Arabidopsis thaliana: one gene and its partners. The main gene of each other region encodes a partner of the protein of the gene in region 3 in a complex. Each region holds a gene or a part of one and is shown on either strand. Other genes may lie near its edges. The genes, in order: AT5G05140, GCT, MED21 and AT2G22370.

Evidence for each region.
Region 1: MED21 (region 3) and AT5G05140 share a complex: the UniProt entries of both Arabidopsis thaliana proteins name them as parts of the mediator complex.
Region 2: MED21 (region 3) and GCT share a complex: the UniProt entries of both Arabidopsis thaliana proteins name them as parts of the mediator complex.
Region 4: MED21 (region 3) and AT2G22370 share a complex: the UniProt entries of both Arabidopsis thaliana proteins name them as parts of the mediator complex.

What each region holds. Positions count from the first base shown.
Region 1 is NC_003076.8:1,518,164-1,523,689, reverse strand, and holds AT5G05140 (Transcription elongation factor (TFIIS) family protein), read right to left. Parts: upstream 3,986-5,526; 5' UTR 3,338-3,985; coding exon 2,876-3,337; intron 2,788-2,875; coding exon 2,719-2,787; intron 2,639-2,718; coding exon 2,556-2,638; intron 2,462-2,555; coding exon 2,409-2,461; intron 2,293-2,408; coding exon 2,143-2,292; intron 2,058-2,142; coding exon 1,765-2,057; intron 1,683-1,764; coding exon 1,601-1,682; intron 1,512-1,600; coding exon 1,393-1,511; 3' UTR 553-1,392; downstream 1-552. UniProt on the Arabidopsis thaliana protein: Component of the Mediator complex, a coactivator involved in the regulated transcription of nearly all RNA polymerase II-dependent genes.
Region 2 is NC_003070.9:20,635,813-20,640,409, reverse strand, and holds the start of GCT (RNA polymerase II transcription mediator), read right to left. Parts: upstream 3,031-4,597; 5' UTR 2,817-3,030; coding exon 2,793-2,816; intron 2,712-2,792; coding exon 2,638-2,711; intron 2,545-2,637; coding exon 2,405-2,544; intron 2,319-2,404; coding exon 2,232-2,318; intron 2,071-2,231; coding exon 1,983-2,070; intron 1,894-1,982; coding exon 1,816-1,893; intron 1,569-1,815; coding exon 1,491-1,568; intron 1,402-1,490; coding exon 1,322-1,401; intron 1,069-1,321; coding exon of another isoform or gene 1,014-1,068; intron 918-1,013; coding exon of another isoform or gene 883-917; coding exon 804-882; intron 695-803; coding exon 368-694; intron 127-367; coding exon 67-126; intron 1-66. Other genes in the region: AAE18 (acyl-activating enzyme 18), read right to left, coding at 3,751-3,867, 3,961-4,170, 4,264-4,362, 4,455-4,580. UniProt on the Arabidopsis thaliana protein: Component of the Mediator complex, a coactivator involved in the regulated transcription of nearly all RNA polymerase II-dependent genes.
Region 3 is NC_003075.7:2,430,385-2,434,190, reverse strand, and holds MED21 (mediator 21), read right to left. Parts: upstream 1,940-3,806; 5' UTR 1,829-1,939; intron 1,547-1,828; 5' UTR 1,527-1,546; coding exon 1,236-1,526; intron 1,152-1,235; coding exon 1,100-1,151; intron 871-1,099; coding exon 794-870; 3' UTR 556-793; downstream 1-555. Other genes in the region: AT4G04775 (zinc ion binding protein), read right to left, coding at 2,519-2,836, 2,907-3,071. UniProt on the Arabidopsis thaliana protein: Component of the Mediator complex, a coactivator involved in the regulated transcription of nearly all RNA polymerase II-dependent genes.
Region 4 is NC_003071.7:9,500,233-9,503,892, forward strand, and holds AT2G22370 (mediator of RNA polymerase II transcription subunit), read right to left. Parts: upstream 1,979-3,660; 5' UTR 1,847-1,978; coding exon 1,805-1,846; intron 1,658-1,804; coding exon 1,558-1,657; intron 1,468-1,557; coding exon 1,410-1,467; intron 1,333-1,409; coding exon 976-1,332; intron 890-975; coding exon 787-889; 3' UTR 552-786; downstream 1-551. Other genes in the region: AT2G22360 (DNAJ heat shock family protein), read left to right, coding at 1-227. UniProt on the Arabidopsis thaliana protein: Component of the Mediator complex, a coactivator involved in the regulated transcription of nearly all RNA polymerase II-dependent genes.

The DNA of each region.
Region 1 (5,526 bases), on a different chromosome or scaffold from region 3:
AATGTTTCACATCAAAAATGAAGTGTAATCTAACAAAGTATGTAATGGATATAGGTCAATTTATTCATTGCATATTGATTATAAATGAGATTTTTTATATTCTTAAAATAGTATGAATTAGACATTTTGTAGTGATATTTCCAACAACAAAAAAAGATCTCATAATTTTGTTAAAAAAAAAAAAACTAAAGACATTTCGCTGCATCAATAGTAAGATTTAAGTTCTAGAGCTTTTGGAATTGCAGTTTTTTGTTTAGTTTAAAGTTTTGAGATTATGAGTTAATGTTTTAAATTTTGAAACTTACTAAATGTTAAATGTCATTTCAGTTTTTGTACACAGACAACAATATTTTTTGTATTTTCACATGCTCAACTTTTTTTTTCTCTCACATGCTAAAGTTTACAAAAATAACCAACACATCCATACGAATTTACCATCACGCCAAAAATCATTACGTTTGTTTTTGTCCAAAAGTGTTTGGGTGTACTTATTTAATCAAACTAAAAAGTGCATTTTCCTTTTCACGAAATAAAATCGTGACCATAAAACTAGATTTATCTCTATCCAACTGTTTTTCTTTCAATAGAAATGGAGTGAAAGATTAATAGAAGTTGTAGAAGTCCACGTGGTTCATGTGGTGAAATGCGTGAACGCGTAACGCCGAGATAATAACAACATTGAATAAAAAATACCAACACGCACAAAGACCACACTGCAACAACATTCCTATCCATCCACGTTATCTCCCACCCCCCACTACCTTCTCCTCTTTTCTTATCCACCCACCTTCCTTAAGCCTTTCCAATGCCATCTTATTTTATATACATAAGTAATAAGAAATGACAACATTCGGTCACAATCACATTCATTCATAACAATTGGATATCATTATATAAATATTTATTTATTTGGAAAAAAGTGTCATCATCTCTATATTGTGTCCCAAATCATTTCACATTACTATACAAAGTTAGGTGAAGAGCCGGTCAATTTCGAATGAGCTTTTCTACCCTCTCTTTTACTATTTTTATATGATATATATGTAAAAGGGACCTCTCTCCTTGTCCCAAAACCGAACATAACCCGACTAAACCGGGACTGTACCGAAAGTCTCAAGAATGTAGTAAAGAACACATAAAAGAAACAATAATTGGTATCCCTATCTTGCTGCAATTGGTGAATCCAAGACAGAACAAAACAGAGGAGTAAACAGTTTGTTCAAAGTAAAGTTATGTTGGATTCTGTTCCTTCTCCTCTGCTTGTTTCTGTCTCCAGCTTTGTGGAACTAGACTCTGTTTACCTTTATTGCACCAGAGATTGCGAGATATGTGTGGTAAGTATGGAGTAATATCTTTTGCCGAGAATTATTCACCATTTGAACAAAGCAGAAACTATTTTCTCCCATTAGCCCAATTCCTGTTGCTCATTCCAGGTCTCTTGAGTTGCGGTTTCTGAGCACTACCTTGCTTTGGGATCATCTCAAGTACTTGTATCGTTCGCTGCTTCTTGGCTGTGGCAAGATCACAAACATTTTTAAGTTCTTTTGTTTTCAAGAATGTAACAAAAAACTCGAAACAAAAGAAAGGAAATGAAACGAACCATTCTCGTGATGCTGGTAGCTTTCTTGAAGTTTCCTCTTTGCAAACTCAAACTTTGCGTCTGCATCAAGACCTTTAAGTTTCTGCAAGGGACAAGAGCAAAAACACCATCAATTCTACGTCCAAGAATAGGATATTAGACAAGAGCTTTGTCTCCACACTCACTTCTTGTTGAGGTCCAGGAGCTTTCCGCTTCTGTTCTGTAACAACCGGTTTCCTTTGGATCATGGGTTTTTCAGACTTGTGAACAGATACCGTTTCGTTCTTCATCCTTTGCTCTGTACTTTGCTTTACAGGTCTTCTAGTCCCATCAAAATCAGTAGCTGATGATGGCTTAATAGATCTAAAAGGAGCATCTTGTATCCTCATTTGTGTTCCCTCAGGTTTTCTCTTGGCGATATTTTGTGGCCTTCTTTCATGCTCTCGGCTTGTGTTGTGTTCTTCAGAGTTACGAGGATCTGAAACAAACATCCCCAAGAAAATCAATCAACACGTAGCTAAGAACATGTTCTCAAACAAACAAGACATAGTTTTAAAACTCACTTCCATCAAAGTCCAAGGAATCAAAGAAGTGTGAGATTTCAAATCCGTTTGGTTCAGGTGTAAAGATATCAACATCATATGGAAGCGATGGAAACGCCTCTTCTTCATCAAGGACAGACGGGTTTGCAGACTCTGGTGTACCTTCAGCACCTGTTTTAAACACAAAATTAGAACCAAAGACTATGGATCTAATTCAAGAAACCAAACGGTAAGACACGAAGCCAGTCATAAAAGATCGAAAAGCGAGACAGAGAAAGCGCAATTACCAGTGATTTCCTTTGTGGTATTCACCCATTGATCCACCAACTCCTTCCATTCTCTGCATAAACATATCAAAAACTCAAATGTGAGATTCAAAAGTGCAAAAGCATAGCAAATGTCAATCAAACTTGTGAAAGATCAAAAACTCATACGCGATAAGAGTCTTAGCGAGTTGTCGAATCTTATCAGAAGAATGTTTCCTGAGGCCATTAACAGCCTTTCCAATCTCAGTACTCTGCGAGAATAACCGCAAACCTTAAGAATCTCAAGGATCATCAACAACAACTTCATACACTATCCACCAAGATAACCAACCTTAAGAATATCCACATTCAAAGACATCAACTTAAGATGTCTTAAAGAATCGAGTAACACCGAGTTTGGCTGCAAGAGAATACAAAAAAGAACCAATCAGAAAACACAAAAAAAAAATCTTCACATTGATGAAATTTCAAGAACTTGAGAATCAAACCTCATCTTCTTTGTTGAGCAAGATCTCTTTGATCCTAGCAACCTCCTTAGAAACCACAGAAAACTCTTCAATCTCATCACTCAAAGCCTCAGCTTCATCAAATGTATAATTGCTAACAATCTGATTATTATCCCCTCTGCTACTATTAGCTTTGCTCTCTTTACTACCACCAGCAACCTCATAATCTTCATCAACCGCCGTACCACCACCACCATTTCCGGTGGTTCCACGGTTAGCCTCGTCGTCTCCGGGAACAGACAATTCAAGATGGTCGCATCCGACGCAACGATTCACTCTACAGGAGAATAAAAGCTCGGCGATTTTGTCTCTTCTGGATTTGAATTTGTTAGGACAATCAGTAGCAGCCACCATGATCGCATGATCGATGATCCCGAATATATCGGAATCTCCTCGCCGTCGGAAATATTCTCTCCAGCTATCTAATGAACCCGATGCTTTCATCGTTTCTCGATTCAACAAAATCGGAGTCTAATTAACTCAAGAATTTGATTTTTTCCCCAGAAAATTTGAAGAAGAAGCAAAATAGATTTCCAGAAGAAGAAGATTGGGATCGTTGAAGATTGAAGAATTCGAAAAGAGAAGATCAGAAAATATCGAATCTACGACAGAAGATTTACTTACCAAAAAAAGATCAATCAAACTTAAAGGTTGAGACTTTGAAGATTGTTTTGTTCTCAATCAAAATATGATCAAAAACGAAAAGGATTTGTGATCAAAAGAATCTATAGAGAGAGAGATAAACACAAAATCTGTTTGGTAAGTTTTTATTAATTTATTTTTTTTGGTACCTTTCCGAATCTGACAAGAAAACTTTCCCGGAAAGCCCAGAAAGGATTTTCCCGAGAAAAAAATGCACCGCAGCAAAGATGAGAAAGAAGGAGGAAACCCAAAAAAGCAAAAGAGAGAATACAGACAGAACATGAAACAGTTTTGGTTACGTTGTCTATCTAAAACCCAAGTGCTACTACGTTAAACACAGCTACAAATTCAATTCAACAAGAAACCTTTTTATTAATTCAGAAAGAGAAATAATGAAATTTATTTATTTCCTCTGATTGAAGTCTCTCTGTATATCTGTTTGGTAAAAGAGATTTTATTTTTATTTTAAGTTGGATTTTCTTTACGGCTTTCTTTTGACCTGATCGGTCTGTTTTGGCTTTTCATTATTATTATAAAAACACATTATTCTTTTTTTCCTCACACATGCGTTGTACTTGAACGACGACACAAGTTAAGTGATTACAAGGTCAAACTCTTTTTTTTTTTTTTGGGTCATAAATCTTTTTTACGTTGGAAAATGTCAAAAGTAAATTCTACTAAGAGTGTTTAGTTAGTTATACGGACTTTAATGAGAAGCTCTGAAGAAGAGATATTTATTTCCTAATGCTGCTGATCAAAAGCGTTTATCTTCTAGTCAAAGAGTGATATATTAGAATATTTGGTAAATCCGATTCAAAACAATAGTTTCATGTTTTAACAGTTAACACTATCATTTCATTTTATTTTGTTTTATAAGAAATTGGATTAGGTACTTTAATTTGTTCAGATTTGTAAGACAGAGAAACAAGTATTTCTTTGTTTACAATGTTTTAAAAATATCTAACAAAAAAGTTGTTTTATTTTTTTTGTATCCCTTTGTACTTTGGATTAGGTACAAAATGACTCACAATGTTTTAACCTCGTTACCCTCACAGCTTTTTCATTAATTCATCGACTATTTTTTCATAACCCATACTTGTTAAGGCCATTAGGGCATCTCCATCCATGAAAAACCCACAAAGTTTTTCAAACAAAAAAAATATTAATATTATATTATAATTTGATTATTTGATTAAAAAAATATTTTTGTTAAAAAATTAAACCAATAGTAAGATGATAATTGTCATGATGGGTTGTAGAGACTATCTCAGAGTTTCTCAAGTGAGAAACTTTCTACACTCTCTCTCCTTCATTTTCATTATTTTTATTTTTTTAATTGTGAGAAACTCTTATGAGATACTCCCAATAGAGATGGTCTTAGATATGTAGTTTATTTACAATTTATCAATTGTAAATAAAAGTTACAACTCTTCACTTATACTCATAATGTTCCGGTACAATCCAACCAAACCTTAACTTAGATCATATTTATTTTAGAGAATTTACCAAAAAAAGACATAGCATGATAGCATCATGTCATCAATCATCATACATTGTCTTATTTTTGTTGTTGTTGAAAAAAAAAAAAATCAACTGTTTTTCTTTGTATTTGCATTTTCGTTTATGTTTACATGTTCCAAAATGATACCACAATCATAACTGTTTTAATTCAAAGTAAGAACTTTGTTTTGTGTTTACAAAGTTATAAAATAAGTTGGACTATTAAACTTAGCTTGATTTGTTAGAGCAACAACAGAAAATAGAAGAAGAAAAGGAAGTTTCTGTTTGTGGAATGAGAAGCATGTATTAAATGTTGGTCAACAAAATCGACCCCTAAAAATATTATAATTTGATTTTATGTTAATACGTGACAAAACGAAGTCGTACGATTTGGGACGGTGGTGATTACCAATCAGAATTTACTCACCTTCAAACGCGTGAAAAACACTGGGACTCCTTTGAGTGCTAACCTCACGGGCTTGTCACAGCCA
Region 2 (4,597 bases), on a different chromosome or scaffold from region 3:
AAGACCTCTGTTTTGTGGATTTCTTTTGATCTTCAAATGTCGACGAGATAGATGAAAAAGACTCACCAGTGCATAAACAAAGATGAGCCTGCTAGTGACGGGCCTATCCAGTTTTGAAGCCAAAATCTGCAAGTATGATTTCACCTTGCATCAGCTCCAAGCTGAGGAAAGATCACAACTATTACATCTATTTAACATGGGTCTGAAACAATTACTAAAACTTCCACTACGATCACACAGAGTCAATTTGTTTTAATACATACATGGAATTCAACAGAAACGAAATAAATTTTATGTATAGCCAATCTGGATCTTACCGTTAAGTACTCAATGAATTCTAAATAACCACCTCACCTAGTCAATTTACCTTTTCAAAGAAAATTTCGCAAATGCCGACTGTAAGATTGGTACAAGCACTGCCTCAGCTGGATAGATGAACTTTTTTTCACAAACTGATGAAAGATCTGATTGTCCTTTACGGTGATCTTTACTCCCAACTGAAGGTTCAGGACACTGGTTATGGGGCAAGTTAACTGCAAAGGTCGAATTAGCTTGACTTGTGTTGTCATTTCTATTTTGGCAGCAACCAAGTGTAACTTCCACGTAGCAATGATTGCCATTTATCAGACGGGACCCACGACCAATATGAGAAGGGAGACCAACATATCCAGTCGAAGTTTTTAAGTTTCCAGAACTGTGTGAGAAAAAAGTATTAGTTGAGAAAATTGGATTAATCAGATTAACGGCTACGCACTCACAAAAAATGTTGACTTGGCATTCGAAAGCAAAGGTATGAAATGTACCTGAAGTAGACTTGCTTGACAAGGTCATTGGGACAGAATCCAGTAAGGCTGCCCCGCATTCCATGAGGAGAAACAATAACTGGTGGGAATAACATAGGCCTGTGAGAAGTGTTTCTATCAAATAAAAAGCTCTTATCTTTCTTTAAGCATGTGTAGAAGGCGGATTTCATTTCAGGTATCAATTCAAAAAGTTTGGCTTCATAGAATTACATGTAGCATAATCTATTATCCTCACTCTTGGCCAATCCCAAACATTTACGAAAAGCTCTTGTGACATGCAAAAAAATGAGGTGTTAAATCTTTGCTTGATGAAGCTAGGTAGCAGTAGCACTAGACTACACTAGGTTTCTTTTTGGAGTGGATGCATTGAAAATTGAGTTCAAAATGCTCTCAATCTATACAGTATTCTAACAGTACAAAGCAAGAAGAGGTCAACAAACATCTAGAACTAGTTCCATCAAAATCGTAGACAAGTAGGATAATTTATCAATCCAAATGATGATGGAAAAATAACTAACCTGGAAGCCTATAACTGGAGTTTTTCAAAGAACTCCTTAACATTCTTTCAGCATCGCCACTTGAAAGTGTGCGGACATTCCTTCGTGCATAAAATATTATAGTTAGTTTCAATAACTATGTGAAGCACTAAACCATAACTGAAACAGTATAACAAAAAGCTTTACGGACTTGGCAGATATAATGACATGGACAAAAACTGCCTCTTCGGTAGCAGCAAAGATGAATTCAACAGTAGGCTGTCCCCTCCTACATAAATATCCACAGAGCATTAGCGAGCCACAGAGCATTAGCGAGCCACAGACCTAATCATAGAATTCTTTGGATTCTAAGAATTACACTCAGGAAACCTAGGTCTCACAGACCCTATTTAATGAAAGCTATAGGATAATACATAATCGAAAAGCCATAGAGAAAAAAGACGATATATTTGCTAATAAACCATCAGAGATTATAACGCATGGTCTCGCTTATATTGGTAAGAGGTTGCAGATACCTCAAATATTCTTCGCTTTGAGGGCTGAATTTTGAAAACACATCTCCAAATCTCATGTAGGAAATTCCAGATAATGCTCTGTGGCGATATCAAACAAGTTAATATGATACTCTAATCCATTATTTCCTTAATCCAACCATTATGTCTGCAGATAATAAAAAACTAACCTTTCGATGCAATTACGTAAAGACTGTGAAAAGGCAACTGATATCTCTTCAGAGTCCCCAGGTGCTACCCAAATTCCTGACGCAACAACTTTCAACAGGAGAAAAAGAAAAGTAAGGACAAGTATACCAAGATAACCATAGACCACAGGCATGTTCACTAAACAGTCATAATCAGAATAGAGACAATATGTTTGAATCTATTGAGGCGACAAAATACGATGAAGAAAATAAATCATAAGGAGAATATACCTCTAAGCTTTGACACAGCAGCCTGAGCTTTATCAGATATTGATGAATGACGCCCAGGTAGAAAAAGCCAAAGCTTAATCTTTTCATCTGAGCAGCAGCGAGGAATGATGGTTAGATACAACTGTAAATAAAGTTACAAAATTTAAAAGTACCAGATTGAGATTTAGCATTACCAGGGTTGTATAAACCTTGAGATGGATCCCAAGGTCCAACAAAAGAATTGGTCCAAGTGGTAAGAAACCCTTCCTTCTGCAACCGTAGATGAGAGGAAAGTACAAGATATGTTGCAACTTCATTCTGCTCAGCTCTTGAACTGAAAAAAAAACTCCAGAGTGACCAGACTAATTAGTACAATGTCAATAAGGAAAAACTAAAACAACCCATTGAAAAAGCTTAAAGCTTTAACCTTCTATCAAAGCCAGGATTCAGCTCAGTTTCACTTGGAAGAAACTGAAACCAAGAAACATTATGTAGACCACCCTGTAGAAGAAAAATCATCATGTATTACCAATAAGTCAATTTTCACACACAATGGGAAAAAGATGATAGAATAAGACTTACAATTCTGAAAACATTAGTCCACATCACTTGGGGATAGATACAACAAGTTCAATCCTTTTTTTTCTTCAAATTATAGGCTATAACCCCAAAATCATCGTCTTGAAGCGCTCGGAATTGGAAGACGTTGTCAATTTCTAGCTCGATCTTCTCTTGATGTTGCGAGGTTTATATCTCTCTTTTGATCAAAACTCTTCAATACATCATAATCATCTCAACACGAAATCTCTCGTGGTTTTCATAAAACCAGATCCAAACGCGCTCTTTAGGGTTCTTTTTTTTTTGTTGCTCTTACTAATTCTTTTTTTTTCTGTGGCCCAATTTGTTTTAGTCAGGCCCAATTCATTATTTTCACAACACTCTGGTTCAAAAAAAAAAACCGCCAACCACAAGCATCATAAAAGAGTTTCCTCCAAATAAGGTGTTTAATATCAAGTGTTTTTGAAGTTTTGGTATTAAGATCTCATTCTTTCGAGTTTGTTTGACTTGCATCAATCAAATGAACCAAACAATGCTATGGTTTTACTTTATATTTTCTAGATTTTGTATACCACGATATAGCTAGACCTCGAATGATCTTAACGCTATCTTTGTATCGTTGGGTGCGGCTAGTTGTCTTCTGGTTCCATAGGTCATTCGTGGTGATACTATTCAGATGTCTCAAAGCCTTATGGGATGTATGAGTATCGTCCGAAATATTTTTACAAATTTAAACAAAAGATAATCTTGAGGAAAATTAAGATTATAATCTGATATGAAATATATACACCAAACACAAACACAAACATAACAAAGTCAAAGTGTTTAGTCATGTAAATGTGAATCAGGCTAGAGAATTCAAGGACCGGTAGATTTGATTTAATCGGTTTTCTTATTTGGACCGAGCAGTACCCAATCATGTGTAGATCAACTACTACTCAGCAGATCTTATTTTATTCTAGTTAAACTTAAGATCAAGGCTTTATATTCGACTTCGTAAGGATAGTAGTTCTTGCTTAATCTGATCTCTCAAGACTCTTCTCAGTAGCTTGCTAGAAGCTGTTCTTGGAAACTCCGGCACAATCTTCACAAAACTCACCTGCAATATTTTTGCAAAATCCATTTTTAAGCACACAAAAAATCTTATAATAACTTTGAATTTATAGAAAAACTCATCAAAGATATTGATTACCTTGAAGAGAGGATTAAGATCTTTTTGAATGGTTCTTGAAAATTTCATCTTTAGCTCTTCTCCACTCTGTTGCTTGAACCCTTCTTTCAAGACTGCGAATATGACCAGCAACTCTGGACCACCGTTAGGTGGTGTTAAGGTGACTGCAGCTGTCTCAGAGATGCACTCATCAGCTTGATCACACACACGTTCGATCTCAATAGAACTCGTCTGCGTTATAACAGATAAACAAAAGATGAAAACTTGAGAAAAGTTCCAACTCTAATCGAAGTTGGGTATATAGACATACAATGTATGTAGTACCTTAATGCCTCCAAGGTTCATGGTATCATCAGCTCTACCTTGAACATTGTAATATCCTCCAACAGTTCGCTTCACAATGTCACCGTGTCTTCTAAGTCGCTGCAGAACGCAACAGAACAGAGGAATCGTTTAACTGACGTAAGTTTGCAATTTTGTTTAGATGTAAATATAGAAGTTCTAAAACTACTCACTGTTTCCTTATACATGGGCATTCCCTTGAAGTAAACCTCGTCGTGATTTGCATTCAGAAGTCTATCCGTGGCCCCAAGGTGCTGGGGGAACAAACCGACTTCTCCAGTACATGGTTGATCATCCGGCTGCAAAAACCAGTCTA
Region 3 (3,806 bases):
AAAAGTGATCTTTTCTTTATAATCAATAATCTTTCTTAATCCGATTATAAGTAGAAAACAATTATTAAGTTTAAAAAAAAAATACAATTTTTTTTTTTCACATAGTAAAAGTATTAGAATTGAACTTTACAAAAAATTAATAAAAATTAAAGAAAAACAATAGTAGAGTCATATTTCACTAAATATTTTACATATAATATTTATATAAATATATATATTGGTAAATTTATACAATTGTTAATTTATAATATTGATCGGACTGGCTAAAGTTTTCTTTTCATCCTAAAGCTTCATCACGCAGACAAAAGATTGTTGGACTCTATACAAGTCTTGTGAGAGAGCGCAAGAAGGATGATGAGTTAGGATATCTTCACATGCTTGAGTACAAATACACAATCAAGATCCGGTTTTGGACCACAACTTATGGACTGGTCATTTCTTTTCAGCAACTTGGATTGAATGTGACAGATACCAGAGTTCATAGTAATTTGACCATCATAGTAATTTGACCAACACTGCCCGGAGAATCAAACATGATGTGTCAATCATGGCCTGTAATTGTGAAAATGATAAAGTGGATTCTCTGAGATTGTAATCAGACAGGTCAAAAAAGTGTAAGGTTAAAATAATGGTTCTGTTGTTGTGAGCTAACTAACATTCTTGTAATTGCTTCTACAACAATTTTTTGGTGAACCAACTTAGAATAGATATTCCTTATGAACCTAAAAGATAATTGTTGCTGAACCAAATCATATAGTTTCTAAATCAGCTCGACAAAAGGTAAACAAGCATTTCATTCAGGTTTCTTCATGTTCAGGCAATTGTCAGCAGCTTGTCCAAACAGCTCTTGTACTTGCTTTAGCTCCTTCTCTGTCACAAACAAGGTCACACCATTAACATCAGCTCAATCGTCAGAGGCAGTTGCAAGGGAAAACAAAAATTCCAAATTCTAGAACCACTAAAGATAACATCTAACCATAGTGCGTGTATCAACAAGAAAGTATACAAATTGAAATTTGAAGTGCATAATGAATCTGCTCCAGTTACAGACAGATAAGACACACCAACAATGAAGTGAAAACCTAAGATCGTTTTTTACCTGCAGCCTCTAGTTGCTTTTGGAGTTCTTGACCAACAAGATCATTTTCCACCTGAAGAAAAAACAGGACAAAGCGGTTAGACAAATAGAAGTAATCGGATTCAAGAACTCGACATATCGGTGTGACTTGTTTGACCTGGAGTTCAGCGATTCTTTTGAGCTGAGCACCTTCACCACCTTCTGACAAAGGAAGTGCAGCAACCAAAGCATCAAACTGTTTAGCAGCCTTAACTAAGCCAGCACTGAGCTGCTTAGGTTGCTCAGGAAAAGGCGTAGCATCATCAGTAACCGTAGTTGTAGCGGGTGGTTCAGGATAATTAGGTGAAAGCTGGACTGGTGGTGCATCCCTTTGCAGTGTCCCAAAAGCATTGAAAGTGATAGCAGCAATCGTATTCACTTGTTCTTGCAACTGTGAGATTATATCCATCTTCCAAAACCTTAAAAGACCTTGAACAAGTATAAAATTTACAGTAATCAATCACATATTAGACTTTTAACATATACTCAAAAGCAAGATATAACGTTCAGAGAGGATCTAGGAGATTCAAATGGCACAAAATTGGTGGTCAATTCCTGAATTTATCAAACAAGATTCTCAACAAAACTAGTGCCAAAGCATAAATCACTTAAAACCAGTTGGATTTCAGAGAGGATCAAAATGGCGAATCCTCAGGGAAAAAATTGACCTAATCGATTTAACGAAGCATAAGCTTTAACGAAGAGACTTACCCGTCGACAAGATTTCTCCGGCGACGCAGAGTCTGTTGGGTGTGGCAACGACAGATAATCGCTGCGAATTGGGGCGTTTTGTTGTTCTTAATAAACTTCGTTCTGCGTTTTGGGTTTGGGCTCGAAGATTTTTAAAATGGGCTTTTAAGGTGGCCTTTCCTTTGGATTTTTGGGCCCTAATTCCATAGAATTCGTAAGGAACGATTTCTGTTGTTTCTTTAAACCTACTGCTTTAATTAATTGACAACTAATTAAAAAAAAAAACACTGAAGTAGAATTGGGTGGCTGATTTTTGAGCCATAAACTATTTCGATTCTCAGCTTTCACCCCCGGACTTTTGGGCCCTTAAATTTTCACCATCAACTTTCATATTCCTCAAAATTACATCATCTACTTTCGAATTCATGCTTAAACATACATTTCCAATTGAACCATTCATTTAACCGGGATTAACCACAAATCTGCGTTTACTGTACCGCGATTGCGATTAACCTGACTAATACCCAGACCCGTTAAGAAAACGACGTCGTTTTCATTTCGTTTAACTCATCAAAAAGAGAAAGAAAACGACGTCGTTTTCATTCTTCTTCTTCTGCAAAATCGATTTGGTCGATTAGGGTTCTTCATTCGACAATTTTATAACAGAGACTAATCCAATACTACAATTTCACTCCAAAACCTCAACAACACCTACACTCTTCCCCAAAGCCATACAATAGATGCAACAATCACAACAGCAACCCCTACAGTCTTCAAAGCTGACTTTGCCATAACATGTCCTAGCTCTTCCACATTCTCCTTCATGGTCAAGAGTTCACCCTCCATCTTCTTAATCAGCTCTTCCTCCATCTGCTTAGCGTTTTTATTAAGGAGCTCCATATTAGCCATCACGTTCATTCTGAGGTCACTAATATTCTCTACAACTCTCTTACACTTCTCATTTACCATCTTAATTTCGTCCAAGAGAGCTTCATCAACCCATTTGAACAAGTGCTCTTCATTTTCTCTCTATAAAACATAATTTCCAATCATTTACTCCTTCAATCAATCAAATATATCACAAAATCGAAATGTGTACCTTCATTGCTATCGCACAACGGTAGAATCTCCGGTATGGATTCTCCTTTGTTTTCGATGTGAATGTAATGATCTCTTCTCCACACCAACATTTCGAGGGGACACCAGGAGGACAGACACGAAATCCTGAACTGGAAGCGGATGAGTAGTAGCTGTTGGTGCTCATTTTCTTATAAAATTGTCGAATGAAGAACCCTAATCGACCAAATCGATTTTGCAGAAGAAGAAGAATGAAAACGACGTCGTTTTCTTTCTCTTTTTGATGAGTTAAACGAAATGAAAACGACGTCGTTTTCTTAACGGGTCTGGGTATTAGTCGGGTTAATCGCAATCGCGGTACAGTAAACGCGGATTTGTGGTTAATCCCGGTTAAATGAATGGTTCAATTGGAAATGTATGTTTAAGCATGAATCCGAAAGTAGATGATGTAATTTTGGGAATATGAAAGTTGATGGTGGAAATTTAAGGGCCCAAAAGTCCGGGGGTGAAAGCTGAGAATCGAAATAGTTTATGGCTCGAAAATCAGCTAACCCAAGTAGAATCGATACTGATTGTGTCTAGTGCTTTAATTATCTCTAGTAGATCTTCAAGGTTTATGCCTTGTCCCTAGTACATTTTGCTATCTCGGTCTGGTGGGTGAGGTGTGATGGTGTTTGTACTTATGTCTCTGGTTTCAGCGGCTTCTTGCTTTCCTCTCTGTCGATTTACTATTAGTTTTGACTTCGGTGTAAAATCTATCCGATCTTATTGGTGTTTCCGGCGTTCACATTTTTTAGGAGAAGTTTAGGTCTTATTTTTCCCATAGTTTTTTATTTTCTTTTGAATTTTGTCTCTTGATTCAATTTCGTTGGTTTAAAATGTTTCCTTATATATGTTTTTGGTTTTACTTCCTTTTTTTCAG
Region 4 (3,660 bases), on a different chromosome or scaffold from region 3:
TGGATGGGACAGTAGATTTGAAAGTTCCAGCTGGGACACAACCTAGCACGACGCTTGTGATGGCGAAAAAAGGAGTTCCGGTATTGAACAAGAGTAATATGAGAGGAGATCAGTTGGTGAGAGTACAAGTGGAGATACCTAAGAGATTGAGCAAAGAGGAGAAAAAACTTATTGAAGAGCTTGCTGATATGAGCAAGAACAAGACTGCTAATAGCACCAGTAGATGATTAGAAACACGAAAATTTTGACATTGAAATTATGAATCTCTCTATACATATACATTTTTCTACTCTGGCTTGTGATATTTAGAATGGCTCTTGAAAAAAGAAGAAGCAAGTGGAGGAAGATGATTATTGTTGTGGAAATGGAAGAATTTTAGAATTCATTTTTTTGTGGTTCAAATTTTTAATATGTTAGGTTTTAATAGGCTTTCAAATTGGAATTTATTAGTGATTGAATGATAAATAAAATAGTATGTAATTCCACAAAGACATTCACATTATTTTAATCATGTTCGAAGCTTCATAAACTATCAATCTACTGACAAGTGACAACAATGAAACATCATAATACCAAAAGGTTGAGAGAAGAGCAAAGATCATATGCAAGTTGTGATTTATAAAGAATATTTATTAAAGATCCCTTACTGATTCTCATTAAATAATACTTAACTCTAATGGTTCACAAGATTTCACAACCATTGTGTAATCTGGAAAATTGACTAGATTGGACCAAAAGATCTAACAAGAGAGAACACAAGAACAGTTGTTTTTAACTTCAAACTTCTTACAATGTAGTACCTCCTCCATCCGACATAAGAGATGCAGCCGCCGCAGCAGCGGTTGGCACAACCCCCGTGGAGATAGACGGTTTCGACAAGTGAACAAGCCTGAAAACACAAGGAATCATATCACTGATGAAGCTTATATCAAAGACACTATCACAGGTGCTGTAAAATATATCAGATGAACTTACGGAGCAAGAAATTCACAGAAAGATGAAACAGCAGCAGCGACTTCACTGTAATTCTCAGAAGTTGCAGGAGCAGTTACATCAACAATCTGCATACCAGGTGTTACAGGAACAGCCTCATCTATAGCATGAACTTTAGGCATCTTATTAACAGAAGATACAGAAACACTTATGTGCGCAGTCCGTTGGAAATGAAAGGCGAATCCGACTTTGAGAAGCTCATGGTCTAGTTTGTAACCGAGTGCATAGAACATACGCAAAGCATTCTTGCTTACTTTACTTTCAATCATATTTCTAACCAAAACAGAGATTTGATCAGCTCCTGCACCTCTCATCGCACCACCAACATGTTTAACCGTCCTATGGTTCTTAAATTAGCTTCCTTTGAATGAAACAAGAACATATACAACAACAACAACAACAAGAAGAAGCTGTACCATGTGGGTTCGGGTTGATCAAGATCACATAATAGCCTAACTTCTGATGACACAACTCCTGAAAAAGTGAAGATTTCACAAATGTGAATCATGTATGATTCATAGGAAGCTTCAAGTTTCTGAATTTAACAAAAGGAATTGGCTTTACCAAGATTTGGGCCGCTTCTTAAGCATAACTCATGAACTCTTAAACGTTCGCGTTGAACACCACAAAGACCTTGAAGAAGAATCTCAAGAGCTTCAACATGCTGCAAAATCCAGTAGAAAATCTAATCAAATTCTAATAAAAATTCAAGCCTAGGGTTTATCAATTGGACATCATAAGAAAGCTAAAAGCTGATCCATGAACTCGAAAAACTTGGGATTTGTTCGTCAATCAAAAAATACAAACGAACCTGTGTCTCGATGATTCCTTGAACCACACACTCCATTGACATTGAGCTATCACAAAATCTCTCAATTAAAATCGTAAATATATTCTCAACAAGACCAAATCCGAAATTGGAAAAACTAACGAAAGCTTCCTAAATCGTCCTCGGGAGCGAATCTGAGATTTTTTAACACCGGAGAATTTTAGCTAGTTACTAGAATCACTTGTGTAGTTGTTATATAGTAGTTAGCTGTAGATAAAGCAAGATGGCCTATTAGCTCAGTTGGTTAGAGCGTCGTGCTAATAACGCGAAGGTCACAGGTTCGATCCCTGTATAGGCCATTTCGTTTTTTCTTGTTGCCCCTTTTTTGGGAACTCGATCATAATAAAAACTCTAGTGCATCTCGGTCATTGATTAGTGATCACCAAATAGCCCATTAGCTTAGTTGGCCGCATGATGAGAACATAACCACCGGTTAACCGGAGTAAACCGTCATTAGTTAGGTTGAAGATAGAATTTAGTTTGTGCTATCTTTGCTAAAAAGTTCATGAACCCTAACCTAATTAGTTGGCATTTTAAGAAGTCAACTAGTTTCGATAAAGTTTATGAACATAGCAAATGATATTTATATATGGTTATTTCATCTTGGTTGTGATTACTGTAAATGTCTACTAAGTAGAATGTGTTAATTCCTTATAATTGTTGACAAGAAATATGTAGAAAATTTTGTCAAAATTATTGCGATGTTGTGTAGATTAAGTGGCCACTACATCACCACAATCCTTTAAATTATTAGATAAAAAGTTCAAAAATAAGTCAAATAACCATGTTTACGAAAAGTTTGGAGGAGAATAGGAAAAATGTAAATATATTTATTTTAGCCTCAAACAATTCTTCTCTATTTCAATAGACGAATGAATCCTCAATTTTGCATTAACTAAACCATTTTAGTTTCTTCATTCGTCAATAATATCCTCAAGTGTGTAATCATGTTAATGCTCGTCTAATATACCGGTAACTCAAACCGGCCTCATTTTAACCTACCTCACCAAATTTGTAGAGGTAGCATAATACACGGGCCAAGTTGAATATCCAAGTTGATATTTATGCTTATAATGCATCATTTATGAATTGCCAATTGTCAAATGCCAAGCATGCTTTTGTGGGAAGGCTTATGAATTGTTTACAATGATACAAGATGCAAATGTAAAACCAAATATCATCAGGATATATTAATACAAGAGTCTATGGACTTGTTTCAGAGGATGAAAAATATAAAAACAAAAAGGTGTTCAACAAAAATAGGTCAAGCTTTGGGTTGTATCCAAGTTTATGTATTAGTGATCCGAGCAAGAGAACCTATCAATGCGATACACGTGTAGCAATCATTAATCAAATCCACGTATGACGACTTTGACTACCATACACTCTAGTACTCTCTACCGTAGAGGATTACATTTTAACCCTACGATTAGTTTAATCTCTCAGTCCACCGGAGAGTGTAAAAACAGCGAGAAAATCGACGTCGTTCGATCGCCGACTGCGAGCGAAGAAGAAGATGGCTGAAGAAGAGGTTGACTACGTATTCAAGGTTGTTTTGAACGGAGATTCAGCGGTTGGGAAGTCACAGCTACGAGCTCGGTTCACAAGAGACGAATTCAGTATGGATTCCAAAGCCACAATTCGGTGTCGATTTCAATACTCGAACGCTCGTTATTGACGATAAGAACATCAAAGCTCAGATCTGGGACATCGCAGGCCAGAAACGGTACTATATCCTTCTCCGATCTTAGTTCTATCTTCTCTGATTTAACAATGGATAAAATATTGCTTCGAACTCGATGATGTTACAGTGTTGCTGTTCAATTTCGATTTTGATC